Linked DNA regions of Sus scrofa. The protein of the gene in region 2 interacts with the protein of the main gene of each other region in a pairwise test. Links are inferred from orthologs where the notes say so. Each region holds a gene or a part of one and is shown on either strand. Other genes may lie near its edges. The genes, in order: PPP1CB, SH2 domain-containing protein 4A-like, FSD2, TACC1 and SH3GL1.

Evidence for each region.
Region 1: the proteins of SH2 domain-containing protein 4A-like (region 2) and PPP1CB interact in binary tests that used the Homo sapiens proteins (3 or more experiments, as listed by UniProt). The two-hybrid records come from large-scale screens. The link is inferred for Sus scrofa from reciprocal best matches to the Homo sapiens genes SH2D4A and PPP1CB.
Region 3: the proteins of SH2 domain-containing protein 4A-like (region 2) and FSD2 interact in binary tests that used the Homo sapiens proteins (3 or more experiments, as listed by UniProt). The two-hybrid records come from large-scale screens. The link is inferred for Sus scrofa from reciprocal best matches to the Homo sapiens genes SH2D4A and FSD2.
Region 4: the proteins of SH2 domain-containing protein 4A-like (region 2) and TACC1 interact in binary tests that used the Homo sapiens proteins (3 or more experiments, as listed by UniProt). The two-hybrid records come from large-scale screens. The link is inferred for Sus scrofa from reciprocal best matches to the Homo sapiens genes SH2D4A and TACC1.
Region 5: the proteins of SH2 domain-containing protein 4A-like (region 2) and SH3GL1 interact in binary tests that used the Homo sapiens proteins (3 or more experiments, as listed by UniProt). The two-hybrid records come from large-scale screens. The link is inferred for Sus scrofa from reciprocal best matches to the Homo sapiens genes SH2D4A and SH3GL1.

What each region holds. Positions count from the first base shown.
Region 1 is NC_010445.4:110,443,389-110,446,902, forward strand, and holds part of PPP1CB (serine/threonine-protein phosphatase PP1-beta catalytic subunit), read right to left. Parts: intron 2,219-3,514; coding exon 2,067-2,218; intron 1-2,066. UniProt on the Homo sapiens protein: Protein phosphatase that associates with over 200 regulatory proteins to form highly specific holoenzymes which dephosphorylate hundreds of biological targets.
Region 2 is NW_018084867.1:67,343-71,410, forward strand, and holds the start of SH2 domain-containing protein 4A-like, read right to left. Parts: upstream 2,808-4,068; 5' UTR 2,685-2,807; intron 2,512-2,684; exon of another isoform or gene 2,457-2,511; intron 1-2,456. UniProt on the Homo sapiens protein: Inhibits estrogen-induced cell proliferation by competing with PLCG for binding to ESR1, blocking the effect of estrogen on PLCG and repressing estrogen-induced proliferation. May play a role in T-cell development and function.
Region 3 is NC_010449.5:52,164,961-52,168,474, reverse strand, and holds part of FSD2 (fibronectin type III and SPRY domain-containing protein 2), read right to left. Parts: intron 2,559-3,514; 5' UTR 2,480-2,558; coding exon 1,838-2,479; intron 1,417-1,837; coding exon 1,321-1,416; intron 1-1,320.
Region 4 is NC_010457.5:47,858,305-47,862,487, reverse strand, and holds the start of TACC1 (transforming acidic coiled-coil-containing protein 1), read left to right. Parts: upstream 1-1,383; 5' UTR 1,384-1,500; coding exon 1,501-1,537; intron 1,538-4,183. UniProt on the Homo sapiens protein: Involved in transcription regulation induced by nuclear receptors, including in T3 thyroid hormone and all-trans retinoic acid pathways. Might promote the nuclear localization of the receptors.
Region 5 is NC_010444.4:74,438,445-74,441,958, reverse strand, and holds part of SH3GL1 (endophilin-A2), read right to left. Parts: intron 1,900-3,514; coding exon 1,831-1,899; intron 1,524-1,830; coding exon 1,451-1,523; intron 642-1,450; coding exon 498-641; intron 85-497; coding exon 1-84. UniProt on the Homo sapiens protein: Implicated in endocytosis. May recruit other proteins to membranes with high curvature.

The DNA.
Region 1 (3,514 bases), on a different chromosome or scaffold from region 2:
AAAGTAAATATTTGTAGTTTGCATTATTTCCCATCATAAGTCTCTTAATTTTAGGGATAATTTGTTTGAAAACAAGCAGAACAGAAAAAGACCATGCAAATTAAGGGTAGTTCAATAACCTGACTTTTAAAAATCATCACCAATTTTTGAAAAGACAACTGAATGGAGATCTATAGCTGAAAAAGTGACTATCAGTATTTTTTTAAAGAAACTCAGCAACTCTGCCCTGTTATCTTATGGAAGACATCTTAATTGTCTAAATTATAAACACATTGTTCATTGATTAAAAGACAATTTTGCCAAAAGCAAAGGATATAGGGACATGACTTCATTTCAATTAAAGTATGAAATTCTAATAGGAAAAAAGCATAAAACATATGCAGAAAATAAGAAGTCTGTTATGGAGTTCCCATTGTGGCTCAGCAGCAACGAATCTGACTAGCATCCATGAGGATGCGAGTTTGATCCCTGGCCCCACTCAGTGGGTTAAGAATCCAGAGCTGCCATGAGCTGTGGTATAGGTTGCAGACGTGGCTTGAATGTGGTGTTGCTGTGGCTGTGGCCTATTCTAGCCCTAGCCTGGGAACTTTCCTATGCCATGACTGCAGCCCTAAAACCAAAAGCAAAAACAACAAAAGCCTGTCATCTTCGTTATCACATAGGAGCACATAAAGAGGCAGAAGTAATCAATCCAGGGTTACGGGGGAGCAAAGCCCCTTAAAAAGGGGAGTACTGTAGAACAGCATATATTTGTTGTTAATATATTTTGCTTTAACAAAGAAACTTTAAATATTATACTTACAAATGTAAAATACTTTAAAAAGTAACTTCAAAAGATTTGAAAAAAATACTTTTCAATGTATTTCATACCAGCTATGGTTTAGGACTGTGAGAGTTTGATATATTAAACTGTTCACCTCCTTGAAGAGTGTACAATCTAGTGATGAAGGAGGACATTGAAACCAAACCAAATCCTAAGTTGTACATATATCCTGTTTTTGTTCTCTGTCTGTATCCGAGGTATGCAGAACTTCCCACGCCAGGGATCAAACCGTCACCACAGTGACAATGCCGTATCCTTAAGCTGCTGAGCCACCAGGGAACTCCCGTACATGTATTTTTTAAAATGAAAATTCAAATAAACACAAAAGTAGATAAGGAGGAGTTCAATAAACTCTCAATTACTCATCACCCTGATTCAATAATTACGAAGACTTTGTTACATTTATTTCATTTACCCCTTTGCTTTGCTGATATATTTTTATTTTGCTTTTTAGGGCTGCACCTGCAGCATATGGAAGTTCTCAGACTAGGGGTTGACTCAGAGCTGCAGCTGCCAGCCTACACCATAGTCACAGCAATACCAGATCCAAGTTGCATCCACGACCTAGACCACAGCTCACAGCAACACTGGATATCCTTAACCAACTAGTGAGGCTAGGGATTGAACCTGAGTCCTCAGAGAAACTAGTTGGATTTGTTTCCGCTGATACAAATAGATGATTTGCTGATACAACAGAAACTCTGATATATTTTAAAACAAATCCTAGACACATCCTCTCACCCCTACATACTTGAGCATGCAACTCTGAAAAATATGGGACATCCTTTTTACATAGCAATATGCTATCATCACAGTTAAAATAACTAGCAATGACTCCCCAATATCTAATACTCAGTCTATAATTGAAAAATTTCCTAATTATCTCAAAATGTCTCTCTATAGTGTGGTTTGTTCTTACCAAAATCCACATAATTCATTTGATTGTTATCTATTATATCTAACTATCATATTAAAATGGGATCAAATAGTTCTAGAAAGCTTCAGACAAGCACTGAAAAATGTTAGTGTTGTAATCTACTACTGTTGAAACCTTTCCTCTTAGAGGGTGGAAAGGGTTAATAAAATCATTACATTGTTACTTGTGAGATCAAGGTATAATCTCTTCTACTGCTTTCCTTGTGTAATTAGCTTTCTTAGATCTCAAATTTCCTCAAAAATAAAAGGAGTAGACCTAGGTGAAGTTGAAAATATCAAAATACCCAAAAGTTTTTGTATTTCATACCTGATGAGCTCGACAAATTAAGTCTAAATCATGACGATTCAGAAATTTACTGACTACATCAGCTCCAAAAGTGAAGGAAACACCACGGTCATTTTCTCCCCAACCTTGCACATCCTTATCTGGGTCAGACCACAGCAAATCACAGAGCAAACCTTTAAAGAATCAAAGCACAGCAATGAAAAAACAATATTTGTAAAATAAAGCATATCTATATCCCATTTCTTCTGTAATAAACAGTAATAATCATTTGCCCCCTGGGATAGTATCCCGGCCTATCCAACTCAGCCAGTTTTTTGTTAAAGTAACCATGCAAATACAATGTTGCCTGGCTTTAAAGGCAGTACTCTCCAAAGCTTTCCAGATATAAGAAATATGTGTATGGCACACTTGGAGTTCCCGTCGTGGCACAGTGGTTAACGAATCCAACTAGGAACCATGAGGTTGTGGGTGTGATCCCTGCCCTTGCTTAGTGGGTTAACGATCTGGTGCTGCCGTGAGCTGTGGTGTAGGTTGCAGACACGGCTCAGATCCTGTGTTGCTGTGGCTCTGGCATAGGCTGGCAGCTACAGCTCCAATTAGACCCCTAGCCTGGGAACCTCCATATGCCACGGGAGTGGCCCAAGAAATGGCAAAAAGACAAAAAAAGACAAAAAAAAGAAAAAAAAAAAAAGAAAAGAAATATGTGTATGGCACACTCTAAGCATATGATGTTTGAAAAGGCTGTTCATCTTGTCTCTAGTTTTTCCCTATGGATAACCAAGTGACCCAGCAATATTTCCCTTAATAGTTCATCCTTTCCTTAGAGAGCTACTTATACTGTTTCTGGTGCCATAGTCTATTCCATTAATCTACTTTATCACTGAGCCAGTAACACACTAGACCTTTTAAATAAATCTTTATGTGTGGTGGGTTTATCCCCACTTAATATTTTTCTTCAGGATTGTCTTGGTTACTTTTAATCCTTTGTTCTTCCACATATAAACTTGCGAATCAGTTTGTCTAATTCTGTAAATCCAATTTAAATTTCACTGGAACTACATCTGATTTATAGATCATTTTGAGGGAAGAAAACATTTTCTACAAAGGCCTGGAGGATTTAAATAAAGTACAGAGGAACAAAATCAGAGTAGATCCCTGACTTTAGTAATGTTTTTGGATTAAAAAAAGGTCAGAGCTAAAAAAATATTTATCTAAAGATCTTTATCAAACTAATAGGAATGTAAATCTTAGAAGGGACTGAGACCATCTTGGGAATGTAAACTGAGAAGACCAGGAAAAGAACTCTGAGGAATCAAACACTTCATAAGCAAGCAGAGAAGGAATGGGCAAAAAATATTGAGAAGGAATAGTAAACACAAAAGGAAAGGATTAGAATATTAGGATCTCCTGAAAGGTTAATTATCTAGAAGTAGGAAATGCTTTAAGTTACAAGTGCAATGAAAAGGTGG
Region 2 (4,068 bases):
AAACACGTGGAGAAGGAGCTGCTCAGGGAAGCTGGAAACTTCTACTCTGTTCCCCATTTTGAATTGGGTGACAGCAACACCGACGGTGTGGGGAGAGCCTAAAAACTACAACTTGGCACGTGCCACCTTCACAGCGCCCCCTCCCTCCAGCACTGGTGACAAGCGCTGACTCCTGCTGGGCAGCCACCACCTTGAGCCCTGCACATGCAGTAACTTATGAACCTTCACCATAACCTTGGTGTTCAGTCCCTCCCTCTGCCCATTTCACAGAAGATGGAAAGGGGCGGCACTGGGCGGTTTGGCTCCACGTCACTGCAGGAGGTTTTCTCCGTGAGCCCAGAATCAGAACATCATCAGGATGAGGCCCCACGGGTGAAGTTTCAGAATGAAAACCAGCAAATTCTAGAGGCAGCGGAAACGGTGAACCGAAGGTACATGAGGCAGGGTCCTTCTTGGGAGGCAGAAGCCTCATCTCTGTAACTGCAGGTGGGCTTTGGGGACGCTGGGCATTGAAAAGCCCTCACCCCGGAAAGATGGCGGGAAGTGACGTCATGTTGGCGCAGGCGCAGATACTGATGCCCAGTCAGTCACTGAGTATTGAGCCTCCTCAGTCCCCCTCCTACCACCCCCAAGAGCAGCACTGGGGGCAGGGGGCAGAAGGATGGCAGGAAGGGACACAGTCAAGACCTCACAGCTGCGATTTTGTGCCGTTTTGCCTTTTGCAACAAATAGATTTTTGACGTTAAAGTGGATCTTGAAGGAAAGACACTGGCCTCCCCCTGTCCTCAGGGGAAACTTGGGAACATAGTTTACAACCTTTCTGTGGGGTGAGGCTGAATAATATGCATGCCACTCGGAGGCTGTGAACACCCACCAGCGTGAACGGAACTCCTTCCTCAAACACAGCACAGGAAGCTCTCGGCTCACAGCTCTGCCTCTCCTGAGCTGTGGATGTTTGCGTTGTCACTTCCCTTCCTCGGACTCAGTCTCCTTGCCACGAAATGAGCCTGAACTTGAATCTTTGTCATCTTAGGAATACACTACATTATAGTGCGGAGTTCCAGACGCAAGTGGGGCTGGGTCAGCGGAAACAGAAACAAGGAAATTAACCAACCAGGGGTTTCCCCTGGTTTCCCTGACAATCAGTGCTTGATACGATCAAACACAGGTAACTTCCGTATCCAATTCATTGAGTGCTACCCAGTTATTTAAGATCCAGTAGAAAGGAAAACTCAGCTAACTCTTTTCCTCCTGAGCAGCACTATTCTTAAAACACAGAAATGACAACAAGCAAAGAGTCCACATCTGCTATTTTTTTTCCAAAAATTCAAAGGGTCATGGCACCCATATTTCCCAGAGCCACTGTTTTATAAACAGTAATTATATTTTTTGGTATTTTTTATAGCTGCACCGGCGGCATTTGGAAGTTGCCAGGCTAGGGGTCTAATCAGAGCTGCATCTGCAATCCATGCTGCTGCAGCAGCAATGCAGGATCCTCACTTAACCACTGAGCAAGGCCAGGGATCCAACCCGTCTCCTGTGGACACTATGTCAGGTTCTTAACCACTGAGCCACAACAGGAACTCCAAGAATTGTATTTTGAATGACTCTGAGATCTTACTTTACCAGAGATACGCCTAAATCATAAAAATATTGTAATATGGACAGTGTACTTTAATGTTAAAAACATAGTTTGAATTCTAATTCTTTTTAAAAAGCCCTGTTTCCAGACTTTCCATGCTCTTACTCAACTTTACCTTGTTAATCTATCTGCAAAAGGGCTATTTTTGAGGATAAAACAAATTACCATGGGTGACAGCAGTTTGGTAAATTTGATAAATACATACCATTCTTCAGGTATTTAAAAATCGCTGTACGTGAATTTCTCCAGAAATTCCTCTCACATGCCAAATCTGTACCTGGGATAGGCCTTCACTCACTTATTCACTTAAAATAATGATTGTATCCCAAGTCATTTCTATTAAACAGGCAATCAAACAAAGCCTTTTAGGAGGTGAGCAGACTCCAAGTTTAGAAAGAGAGGAGGGGAGTTCACTTGCTCTTCCAGTGACTCTTGGGAGGGTAAGACAATTCTGAGCAAACCTGCACAGTTTTGCCCTCTTCGCTGCCCCTCATGCCACCTCTGGGGAGCCCGCGTGAACCAGAGGGCGGGAGAGAGCAGGGAAAGGTCACGGCCAGGCCACCTGCGGCCACAGTCTGGTCCGCCTTCCGGGGGGCGGCGCGCCCACCCTGGGCCCTGCGCGCCCACCCTGGGCCCCACCCCGCACCCTCAAAGGCAGAAAGCGCCCTCAGACCCGGCCTTTCCCTCCGCCCGCGACCCCCACGGGCCACTGCCGGCCTTCTGCACGCTTCCTCCCTGGCAGCCCCGCTCGCGCCCCTCGGGGGACGCGGCCGCCTGCAGCAGGAGCTTCCCGCGCGCCCCGCCGCCCGCGTACCCCTCACCACGACCGCCGGCCGGCCCTCAGCGCCTCTGCTCTCCCGCCGGTGCAGCGACACCGGACACCGACACCGGACACTCGCCCGCCCGCCCCGCCAGCACCTGACCCCCCGGCGGAGGAACGCGCCGCGCGCCAGCGGGACCAGAACCCACGGGGACATCCACCCCCGCCGCCCGCCCGCTCGCCCGCACTCACTGGCCGCATCTGGCCCCTCCCGGCCCGCACCTGCCTGCGCGGGGCTGGGCCGCCTGATCGGGTGCCGAGGGAGGAGAAGGAGCAGTCGGCTGCACAGACACGCGGCCGCGACATGAGCCAAGCGCGTCCCCAGCCCGCCCGTCCGTTCGAACCTGCGGCACCGGGGCTGGTCCCGCCGCGCGCGTCCTGCGGACGGTGGTGAGATCCCGGCCAGGCACCAGGCTTCCTGGCAGGTGGGGCCTGAGCCGGCGGCGGGCGGGCCTTTCTTCGCTCCGCGGGCTGAACTTCTGTTCTGGCGCCTCTGGAGCTCACTTTTTGTTGTTGTTGTTGTTGTTGTTGTTGACTTTGAGAAAATTACCAAACTCTTGGGCACTTGTCCGGAGGGGTGTGGCTTTGTAGGAGGACAGGACCAAAGAGGAGAACAGCTGGAAAGATGGAGACTGGAGACAGCGGGGACGGGGAGAGAAAATGAAAGAAATCCAAAGAGAAGGGCAGAAGAAAAGGAATGCTGAGAGCAGCGGCCAAGTCAGGTTGGGGTGGTTGCTGAAGGAGGAGGAGCTGGCCGAGGAGGGAAAAGGAAATCTGGGAGGAAAGTTCAGTAGAAGCAGCGTGGAAACATTGGGGGGGCATGTTCCTTCTAGAGGAAACGTTCAGAATGTGTGCGGCAAACAGCCTGCTTTGGTGACCCCATGGTGCAGGTGTCAGGGAGAGAGGTTATAGACTGCGATGTGGTCCTCTTCCACGCAGCCTGCCTGACTTGCTCCTTCAGAATGAAACCTTCCCATTTCTAGGCTTCCCGTACTACAGAAGTTAGAGCCTTGGGGTAGAGGTCAGTCCTCCTGCCTAGCTATTTAAAGGCTATTCTGGAGATCCTATCTGGGGAGAATTCCTGGTTCAGTTTGGTTCCACTGCTTATTAAATGAATGGCCCCTTAGGGTCTTTCTGGCTGGAGTGTCATTTGGCCCTGGCTCGCTGCTGTGGCCAGCTCTGAAGGAAGCCTAACACTTCTTGCATGGGCAGTGGAAGAACTGTAAAGTGAGCATTTAACACATCTGAGAACCATTTAATGAACACTTGCCAGGAGCCAGGCCAGTGGTGACACTGGGGGCCTGCAGGGAACAGATGGCCAGGGCCTGCATTGCCATCCTCCCTGCAGCACTGCCTGCTACAGCAGCTCTATGTTTTATACCTCTTTGAAATCATAAACATCAAGTAAGGACTAATCTACCCCAGGAAGGTTTGAATCCTACCCAACACCCAGACACACAATAGGTATGCAGGATGTGTTACAGTTCAAATGCTCCACATGGTAAAATTGCTCCAAAAAACATCAAGGGGCTCTGTTATGTAATTACGAGGCCCTGAATTATTTTCTGCCCTTTGGGCCATGCTCTCAGTGGAAACATTTCCGACT
Region 3 (3,514 bases), on a different chromosome or scaffold from region 2:
CTGAGAGCGAGCTGGCAGTACTGAGCAAGGGAGTTGTCTACTTACCCTTCTACCTCCATCCGCCTGTGCTTAGACATGGAAGGGTTTGACCTTCCTCTGCCTTCCATAGGGAATTAGTGCAATAGTTCTCCTCCCTTTTAAGATTGGGGGTGGGGAGTTCCCATTATGGCTCAGTGGTTAACAAACCCGAATAGTACCCATGAGGACGTGGGTTCCATCCCTGGCCTTGCTCAATGGGTTGAGGATCCAGCATTGCCATGAGGTATGGCACAGGTAACAGACACGGCTCAGATCCTGCATTGCTGTGGCTGTGGCATAGGCCAGGGGCTGTATCTCCAATTCGACCTCTAGCCTGGGAACCTCCATATGCCATGGGTGCGGCCCTAAAAAGACAAAAGACAAAAAAAAGTTAGAAGGTTGGGATGGGGAGGAAAGTCTAGCTTCAGGGGAAAGGGGCCCAGGGCTCCGTGAGGTGCTCCGGTTGATACACCCCAAGGCTGCCTTCATAGAAGTAGAGCATCCCTGTGAAGAGAGGGGACACAGGAAGTCCTATGGTCCTTAGTCCTGGTCTGTCCATCTGGATGGCTAGGTTGAGTGCTGGCAGTGCACACACAGCAGTGTATACACTTCCTGGGCACACCCAGGGAATGTGTTTGGTGCCAGCACAGAAACATTATTATTATTATTTTTTTTTTTTGTCTTTTTGCTATTTCTTGGGCCACTCCAGCGGCATATGGAAGTTCCCAGGCTAGGAGTCTAATCAGAGCTGTAGCTGCCAGCCTACGCCAGAGCCACAGCAACTCGGGACCCAAGCCGCGTCTGCAACCTACATCACAGTTTACAGCAATGCTGGATCCTTAACCCACTGAGCAAGGGCAGGGACCAAACCTGCAACCTCATGGTTCCTAGTCGGATTCGTTAACCACTGCGCCATGACGGGAACTCCACAGAAACATTATTAATCTTGGAAGAAATAGGTAAAGAAAGGAAAAGAACACTTAGTCATAACAGCCTGGGTGTCTTGCAATGCCTTAATAGGCTGGCCATGAAAGAGTCCAACCTTATAGCAGGAATGGGGATATAAAGACATCGAAGACTCAGCCTCCCCAGGAGAGCTGACAGTTCATTAGGGAATGTTGCCATAGGTATACGCCCACCATGCTACGGGAGGGCAGAAAGAAGGGTGAGGGGAGAGGGGCAGTACTGACTCGATACATTCCAAGAAAACAGATTCTCTAACTGGTGCCAGACACAGCTGCTGACCCCACCCCCGATGGAAATGACATGTGTGTCTGACAGCGTCGTCAGGTGTGCTCTTACCTCCACAGTGATGAAAACCTCCTCCAAGTGACTTGCAAAATTTTCCATCTCAATAATCTGCTTTTCCAGTTTGTACATGTTTTTGTGAATTTCGTCCTATTAAACAAAGGATCCCAAGAAGGCATTAATGCTCTGTCTTTTCTCTCTCTCTTTTGTAGAAGGCATTTTATTTTTATTTTTATTTTTTTGCTTTTTAGGGCTGCACCCACAGCATATGAGGGTTCCCAGCCTAGTGGTCGAATTGGAGCTACAGCTGCTGGCATATGCCACAGCCACAGCAACAAAGGATCTGAGCCATGTATGTGACCTACACCACAGCTCATGGCAACGCCCGATCCTTAACCCACTGAGCAAGGCCAGGGATAGAACCCGCAACCTCATGGTTTCTAGTTGGATTCGTTTCCCCTGAGCCACAATGGGAACTACAGTGGAAGGCATTTTAGATTCATATCCTCCCTACACCCTTGAGATAGAAATGCAATATCAAGAGCAAGAAGAACTAAGGAGATCTATTTACCTTGGCGCTTTCCAGTGCTTTATGGAGTGGGGTTACCTCATGTTCCTTGTGTTCATCAGAAACCTCCAAAGCTCTGACTGGTGTTTTGCAGGTGACACAGAAGACATCCGCAGCTTCATCCTCGTCTTCCTCCTCTGGGATGACGTAGCATTCATACTCCTCACTGGCACGGCCATGGGTATACCTATAGGCTTCCCGCAAGTCCTGGCACTGGTCCGCCGAGCCCCAGCCCCCCAAGCCCAGGTCCTCTGCATTAGCCTCCTCCCCGCTAAGTCTCCAGTCTCTCTGCTCCCTGGCTGCTTCTCTCCCCGTCATCCCATAAGGAGGATACTCTGAAACCTCTATTCTGGGCATGCTTTCGTCAACGAATGCATCGCCTAATTCATGATCATCTTCAAGTCCGTAAAGATGGACAAGTTCATCCACTTCTTCTTCAAGGTCTCTCGGAGCCTTCCCTTTCACGGCTGCTCTTGGTTCGTTGGTCATTTCAGCCTGGACTACCTCTCTTCGCATCCGAGCGTTTCCTTCCGGGAAGATCTGCAGTCTGTCTTCAGAGTCGTACAGATCCACGTGATAAAAGTGGAAATCCTTAGGAGCAGCGGGCCTGCCCAGCCCCGGGGCCTCACCTGCTTCCTCTTCCATCGTGGCTCTGGATGCTCGGGGCAGCCCCTCTGCACAGGAAGGTTTCTTTTTGGACAGTTATTAATAGATATCCTGGGTCCTAGAACAGAAAACCCCATTTCTGAGGTCAGTGCACTAGATGGTTATTAGATTGGGCTCAACTCATCCACAATTTTTTAGAAAAAAAAAATCATCCAAGCATCTTAGTTGTAGTTTCACTTTAAGTGATCTATAAAGAAAGATTTGTTTTTGAAGCTCCCGTTGTGGCTCAGTGGTAATGAACCTGACTAGGATCTATGAGGACGCAGGTTCAGTCCCTGGCCTTGCACAGTGGGTTATGGATCCGGCGTTGTGAGCTATAGTGTAGGTCACAGATGCAGCTTGGATTCCAAGTTGCCGTGGCTATGTTGTAGGCCAGCAGCTATAGCTCCGAAACGACCCCTAGCCTGGGAACTTCCATATGCCGAGAGTGTGGCCCTAAAAAAGACAAAAATTAAATAAATAAATAAATAAATAAAGGAGTTCCCATCGTGGCTCAGTGGTTAATGAATCCAGCTAGGAACAGTGGGGTTGTGGGTTTGATCCCTGGCCTTGCTCAGTGGGTTAAGGATCCGGCGTTGCCGTGAGCTGTGGTGTAGGTCGCAGATGTGGCTCAGATCCTGAGTTGCTGTGGCTGTGGTGGAGGCCAGTAGCTACAGCTACGATTAGACCCCTAGCCTGGGAACTTCCATATGCCAAGGGAGCAGCCCTAGAAAAGGCAAAAAGACAAATAAATAAATAAATAGGTTTTTTTTTTTATGGGTGGACAGGCTTCCTAAGCGTCAAAGAGGAGAAATTACGGAAAAAAAAAATCTGTAAATTGATTTCACTAACAAACAACTCCTATGTACTTAAAAAACCTAAAAATCTCCAAAAGCCAAATAATGGGCTTGTCTCAGGCAATTATTAATAAGCAAATTATATAAATTAATTGAAAAGAAGAAATCTCAATAGATTACTGAGCAATGACAAGTCACAAAATAATTTCTTTTGCATGTAATATTACCTGTATAAAAA
Region 4 (4,183 bases), on a different chromosome or scaffold from region 2:
ATTTGTTTATTATTCACCTTCCTTTAATAAATAGAACAGAGATGTTCTAATTCCCTGTTTGTGGACAAATTTTCCAGTTAGAACTGTGAAAACCACTGAGTTTTATTGCAGGGGTCCATGAGGATCCCAAGTTTCATTGCATTTGATAGTTCACAGACAAGCCACTTACCAGGCCATCAGCAACAACTGAATCAGGATCCCCTTGCACCTCCTGTACCTCCAACTCAGCATCTCCAAGAATCACAATGAGGAATCTTCCTGCTTCATTTCTGGGGGCTGAGGAGGCAGTTTGTAGTGGGAACTGGATCCCATTTGTGATAGCCAATTCCTGCGCTTCCATCATGGAAAGACCTAGAACTGGAGAGGGCCAGGAAAATCATCAATTCCCCTCCCTGCCATGCAGCACATGCCCTACACTGTGGGTAGAGGTGTGCACGTGGGGAAGGCTGGCCCCAGGCAGGACTCTATGAACCCACAGGACATTTTCACTGCCATCTTTATCAATTATTATTATTTTTGTCTTTTTTTGCCCCCTCCCACAACAATGGAAGTTTCCAGGCCAGGGATCAAACCTGTGCCACAACAGTGGCAACGCCAGATCCTTAACCTGCTGAGCCACCAGGGAACTCTGTTATTATTTTCCAATTAGAAGAGGGAGAAGAAAAACAAACAAACAAACCAGTCAAGGAGTTCCTGCTGTGGCACAACAGGGTGGATGGTGTCTCTGCAGTGCCAGGACATGGGTTCATCCCCAGCCAGTCACAGTGGATTAAAGGATCCAGCATTGCCACAGCTATGATGTGGGTCACAACTGCGGCTGGCATCTGAGCCCTGGCCCAGGAACTCCATATGCCAAAAAAAGAAAAAAACAAACAAGACAAACAGCCAAGAGGGATGTGGGTGTGTATATTTCTTGGAATCCAGAGGTTGGGGGTGGGGGTGGGGAGTGATCCATCAAAAATGTTTCTAGTACAAAAGCTGGCAAAACAAATCTCTCTCTCTCTCTCTTTTTTTTTTTTTTTTTTTTTAATCTGAACTGTGTAACAGGAGAAATTCTCTCACAAGGGGAGAGTATTCCTGAGCCAAGTTTAGGCCGAGGAAAAATTTTCCAGCTTGTGAGGAACGAAGCTGACGTTACATTAAGGAGGAAAAAAAATAGTGCTGGAGGAAAAGAGGAAGGGGGGAAAAGGCACCAGGCTTCAAACAGAGGAGCTTTAAATTCCAGATGGGACCACAGATCAGAGAGCTAGGAGGCTGCAGCGATTTCTCCGTGGGGCTCCCAGACCCAGTGGACATTTCCTGTTCTGCCCCTGAACGTTCAAGCCAAAACTTTACAAAACATCCTTTTCCCTAGAACCAAGTGTTTGGTTCGGAGACCCACCCCTCCCCACGTCGGTGATCTCAGAGCCTGCCCTCCCCTTCCTTTCTCGGAACCGCTCCCTGATCAGGGGCGTCAGCTTCCCAGCAGAGGTGATGGAGCCACTGTAGCAGGTGGTGCCAATGGGAGAGAGGAGACCCGGGGACCACCGCCTACGAGGTAGGAACGGGGGCTGCGTGTGCTTGGGTTGTCTGACACTTACGGAGCAAAGCAGAGCCCTTGACCTTTAAGCTCGGGCTGGGGGCGTTTTCTTGACGATGGGACAGTGCTGTGGGTGAGTGGACGCCAGGGACGTCAGGCATTTCTTTCCTCTCTTTCTTTCCAATTTTAACTTTAATTCTTGGGTCTCTGGAAGCACTACCTCTTGTTTGCCTTCTGATGTAGAAGTGTTAGGGTAGAATTCTGGGAATTCCCTGACTTCTTTGTTTCTTTTTCTTTTTCCTTTTCTTTTGGTGGGCAAGGAGTCAAGGAGCATTTGTAAATACCTTCAGCTCTGAGTAGATTCAGAGAGAAGTGATCCAAATGGATGCAGAAGGAAAAGGCATTTTCACCTTGGTGAGCTGTGGTCCAGCTGTTTCCCAGGACCTGTGTCCTGCCCACCAAACTCCCTCCTCCTCCCCGCATCATGGGAATACACACCTTGAGCTGTTTCTCAGGTGTGGGGATGTGAGACTGGAGCTCAATGCTACGCCTTTATGGGCAGAGCCCAGGTGCCCTTGGAGACATCCACGTCTGTGGCGGAGCTAACTGGTCAACCCTGAAGGCTGCATGTGGCCCTCGCCATCATTAGGGACATGCCCCAGCAGTTCGTCCCTGAGAGGCTAGCCTTGGCAGCACCTGCTGACACTGAACTGATACAGAGAATGCAGCATGGCTTCTGCACAAGTACTCAGATTTTTATCATAAACGAACCATTTCAAATGCCCCTTCTCTGAACTCCAATGGTCCTTCTCTAGAGCACACATTTTGCTCCTTATGCACCTATCACCTTGCTGTACTGTTCTCTAACAAGCTAAACAAATGAGAGAATGGATGGGATGCATGAGTCGTAATCTATTTCTTGGTGATCTTAAGATAGCAACTAACTCTTGTTGAGCACAGACTGTGTGCCGGCACCATTCTAAAGGTGGTGGGTATTATCATCATCATCCCCATTTTACAGATGGGGAAACTGAGGCTGGAGACACACCTAATAAATGCAGAGGAGGGATCTGTACTGAGGCCAGGCTGCCCTGCTCCAAACCAAGGTGGGGGTTTGACTCTCGGTCCCCATATTCTCCAGCTGCGTGACTTCAGACAAGGTGAATGTCCTCAGCCCGTTTCCTCATCTGTCAAATGAGACAATAATAACCCCAGCTCACAGACGTGTTGTAAGAGATAAATGAATTTTAAAAGATTATTTTACTGAAGCAGGCGAACAATGTTGACAGATCTTCCCAACCCTGGCAGTGTGAAGTACAAATGTAGAGCTGAAAACCCTCAGGGTTCTGTAGGAGGTAGCCATAGTGCCATGTCAGGGTTTGTGCCTTAACAAGGGACATTAGCATTCATATACCAGCAGGTGCAGGCCTGTAGCTGCCAGCTCGGTTGACTCTAAGCTCCTTCAGGGCTGGGTTCCTCTCATATACAGATCTGCAATCATGGATTTGACCAACTTTGGACCAAGAAAATAAAGTAAAATAAAATTCCAAAATTTCCAAAAAGCAAAACTTGAATTTGCCCTGCAATTATTGACATAGCATTTACATTTGTATTTACAACTATTCACATGTATTAGCTTTTATAAGTCATCGAGAGATGATTTAAAGTATAAGAGAGGATGTGTGTTGGTTCTGGGCGAATACTATGTCATTTTATATAAGGGACTTGAATGTAGGTAGGTTTTGGTGTCAGTGGGCCTCCTGGAACAAATCCCCCATGCCCAGGGAAACTCAGGGACCACTTTGTTTCTCTTAAAAACGAGATGTTTCTCAGAGTTCCCTAGTGGCTGAGTTGGTTAAGGATCTGGTATTGTCACTGCTGTGGCTCTGGTTACTGCCATAGCATGGGTTCGATCCCTGGCCCTGGAACTTCTGCATGCCAAGGCTGCAGCCAAAAAAGGAAAAAAAAAAAGAAAAAAAGAAAAATGTTTCTTGAACTGTGCTCTAAGGCCCTCCTTGCTCTTCAGATGTAGGATCCCCCTTGGGGAGGAGGTCAACAAGGGGCCCCGTGGATGCTCCCGCAGCCTCCTCTTCCCGCTCGCAACAAGGCATCTCCATCTTTACCTGACTGACTTATTGGGGTGCCCCGTTAAAAGGAAGATTTGAAAACCACGTTCAGAATGACTAATGGGGAGCAGGTGATGTGTCCAGGCTGAAAACAACTGTTTACAGAGCAGGGTTGATTTTTCTAGCTCAGCCCTGTCTAGGCTCTTCCTTGGCCCTCCCTTAGCCTCCTACTTAATGAGCTTCTCCTGCCCTGGAGAACCCACAGGAGGCATGTGCCAGGCGGGCTCAGGAGGTGAGCTCTTCCATCTCAGGCAGCCCATCCCTGGGGACAGGGACAGACAAGTGGCAGGGCCCCAGAGAGCTTCTGTTCCAACCTGGACTCTCTCTCCCTCTTTTTTAAATTTTTTTTTTTTTTTGGTCTTTTTGCTATTTCTTGGGCCGCCCCCGCGGCATATGGAGGTTCCAGGCTAGGGTCCAATCGGAGCTGTAGCCACCAGCCTACGCCAGAGCCACAGCAACTCGGGATCCGAGCCGCGTCTGCAACCTACACCACAGCTCACGGCAACGCCGGATCGTTAACCCACTGAGCAAGGGCAGG
Region 5 (3,514 bases), on a different chromosome or scaffold from region 2:
AGTTCTGCTTGACCTCTATGTCCAGGGAGTCCTTCACCTCAGCCAGGCGCTTCATGGACTCCCCGGCGTCCAGCAGGGCATCACCTGGGGGAGGAAGCTGTCACAGGAGGCCTTGGCCCCTAGGGTTGAGATACCCCATGCCAAGGACCTGGACGCCAGAATTGAGAACAAGGGACCCTGAAATCTGACACAGAGCCACAGGGGCTGGTGATGATGGGTGTTCACAAGCTACCTTCCCACCTCTTCAAAGGCACCCAGGTCTGCCCTGACCCAGCTGTGGTGGGAGGGTGGCCTCCCCACAGCCATGATACTGTAGGCAGCACCTGTTGTGGACCAGAGGGGCTTTCTCAGGAGCTTCACCGCCCTCGTCCAGAGGACTAGCCAGCCCTGGAGAAGACCTTGGAGCTATGGGGGAAGGGCCAGCCTGCCCGCTGCGCAGAGATGCTGTTGCCCCATGTTCTCAGGCCCTCCCCACTCCAGCCTTCCCTCGGCCTCACCGAAGTTGGACTCGCCACCCAGCTCCTTCCCGTGGCGGATCATGCACTCGCCCAGCAGGCCTTCTGACTGCGGGTAGCCGGGGTTCTTCACCTGCCCACGGATCTTGGACACCGTGTTGAGCATCGTCAGCTTGGCCCGAGAGGCTGGAAGAGGACGGACCGGGTGGGTGTGCAGGTGGTCTCTTGAGCCACCAGGCCTGTGCTTGCCAGTACCACCAGCTACCCACCTCTGCCTGGGTATTTATTTCTAAAGCACTCCCTTGGGCTGAGGAACAGGAATATGAGAAGAACCCCTGAACAGACTTCCCCTCCTCTGCTCTCACGTGCACAAAGGAGCACTGGCAGTGGTCAGGAGAGGTGACTGGCTCCTTGAGGCCCCCAGAGAAGCAGGGCAGGTAGGTGTAGGTGCAGACAGGTACAGGTGGCCCCAGCACAGGTCTCTGCCCAGAGGGGGGTAGGGGTGTGTGTGCTGTGCCTGAGCCTCTGCTAGCTCCAGTCTGTCCCGGCACAGGCCTCAGGGGACACTGCTGCCTTTGCTGCTGTCCTGCATCTGTCACCTTTCACTGCAAACCAGAATTTGGATTTTCCTTGGGGAGAAGGCCCCACCTCATGCTCCAAAGGTAGGCATGTGGCTGGGGCCTGATACTTGATTCAAATTGGGTTAGGTGGGGGTAAAAAGATACTCTTTCTACTGGGACCATTAGCTGTAAGGACAGTTTAAGGCTAGGACTGTTGTGAGAAATGAGAGCTGACAGATGACACAGAAGGGAAAGGCAGGGCCCTGAGGACATCCTTTGGATGCCTGGATCCAGCCATGCCTGAACCTGCCTATCCCTGGGCATCTCAATTCTGTGGGCCCATACATTCCTTCTTCATGTTCTGGTGACTGGAAGATTCCCGACAGAGAGCTCAAAGAGTTGGGGTCAGACCCCTCACAGCAGGCTGGCCCCTACCTGGGTTGGGCTGCAGGTACTCGATGGTTCTGGCCAACACTTCTGTCACAGCCTTGCTGGTAACATCCACCTTCTGTAGAGAGAGGCCATGTGTGGGGTTTTGAAACTGCCGGGGCACCCGAGGCCAAACCAGGAGCCCCTGGACAGCTCTTGCCCTGCTTAGAGCCCACACAAGAACTGCCCGCTGCTTCTGGGGGCTCCCTGGCCTCCGTGTTGTTGGCCATGCTATGCCCTCACCACTGCCTGCCCAGGACTAGGGGAGCCCTGTGACCCGCCTAGACCCTCCTGGTGAGCCTGGCCTCCCGCCAGCTGTCAGGGGCAGGCCCTATGGGGGTTGGTAACACTGCCAGGCATGAGACGGGCACCACCTCTCCCATTACCTTCTCCATCTCCTTGAAGTCATCGTCAAGCTTGGTCCCTTCAGCCCCTCCGACCTTCTCGCTGACCAGCTGGGGGACAAAGGAGGAAAAGTGTGTGAGCCTCAGGGGAGGAGACTCCAGGATGCCTTCCTGCCCTGTCCACTGAAGGGAAGCAGGGCAGGGGCTCAGGACATCTACCATGGCTTCCCAGGGAGACTGAATGTGGCAGCCAATGGCAAAATGAGGGGCTGAACGATACCCACCCCCCCCAAATCTGCATGCTCCTGGAAACCCAGGGCAGGGGGCTCTTCCTGCTGGAAGCCGTCCCTGGCCGAGCTACCTTGTTATGCCGCAATGGCGGCTCCACAATGTTCCCCAGTCTCTGGGTTGTGCAGACCTGCCTGGGCCCAACCATGGCCCAGTGATGTCCTCTCACAGGGCTGAGGCACCCATGCTCACAGAAGCCCTTTCATTCAGGGAACCGTGACCCTGAAGTCCTGCCTCTCTGGGAAGGAATCTCGGACTGTGGGTCTGCATTCCCCAGGGGCGCCCCGAGAGGCAAGCAGGTTCCGAGGCTGAACAAACATGCAGACTGCGTGTGGGACAAGCGCTGAGCAAGAGGGAAAGACCTGCCCGACAGAAGCCAACTACTGTGGTGCCTGGAAGTGACTTTTCATGCATGTGTGTGAGCATGTGTGTGAACCCATGCACATGAAACTTCCTGGCAGCCACCTGTGAGGACAGCTCCCGGGGCTAAGGGCACCAAGGGGCCCACCAGCTGACAGGAGTGTCGGACCACTATCGTTCAACAACTGGTCCACTGCCTTCTATCTGTGTGGTCTTGGGCAATCAGCCTCGCTGGGCCTCAGTTTTTGCTTCTATAAAGTGGAGTGACAGGTGTGCACTCGTAGGGCTGTGGCCAGGCTTCGTGGGCGCTGCATGCGCATGTGTGCTCAGGGTACTCCCCCTGCCCACACCCATGACTGCTGTTATTCTCCCTGGGCATCTTGGTCCTCCAAGTGGAGCACAGAACTGCAGGGCAGGCCTGGCCTACAGGTCTTTGTCACCCCGAACCTGCATGTCCCTGTGAGTCAAGTGTTCTCACAATGGCTACGTGTCAGGAGCCTAGGAGGGGATGGGGTGGGGGGCACAGATGAGAGATGAGACCCTGCGGTGGGGGCACAGGAAGGAAGCAGGGCTGGCTCAGGGCCCACTCAGTCATGCCCCAGCCTTTGAGGGACCTCCAAGGTAGGCAGGGGCTGCCCTCCTGGTTCTGACTTTATAAGGAAAGACACTGGTCTCTCCTAGGTGTTTTTAGGGCGTTCCACTTTATTTCATGGCATGGTTTCACTTCTTTTGATTATGGTAAAACAGGACGTTCTCAGCTTCGGTGGTTGCCACAGAGGGAAATGAGTTAGCTGCCTGACGTGAGACTAGACTCTTCTGGTGAACTCAAAGGGCAGCCGAGGCGCCAGGGCTCAAAAACCACACCTTCCGGGCCGAGGGCCTGCTCAGTGCAGGGAGCACAGGTGCTCCCAGGGAGCAGCCCCTGCTGGCAGGCACCATGTCCCCTGAGGGGCAAGGGCACAGGCAGACCCCATAGCCTCTTCCAGCCCCCCAGGAGTGTCACCTTTCTGCCTCCCCTGGGAGCCCTGACAGCTCCACAGGCATCTATGTGCAGGGCCGCCCTCACTCTGGCACCTGG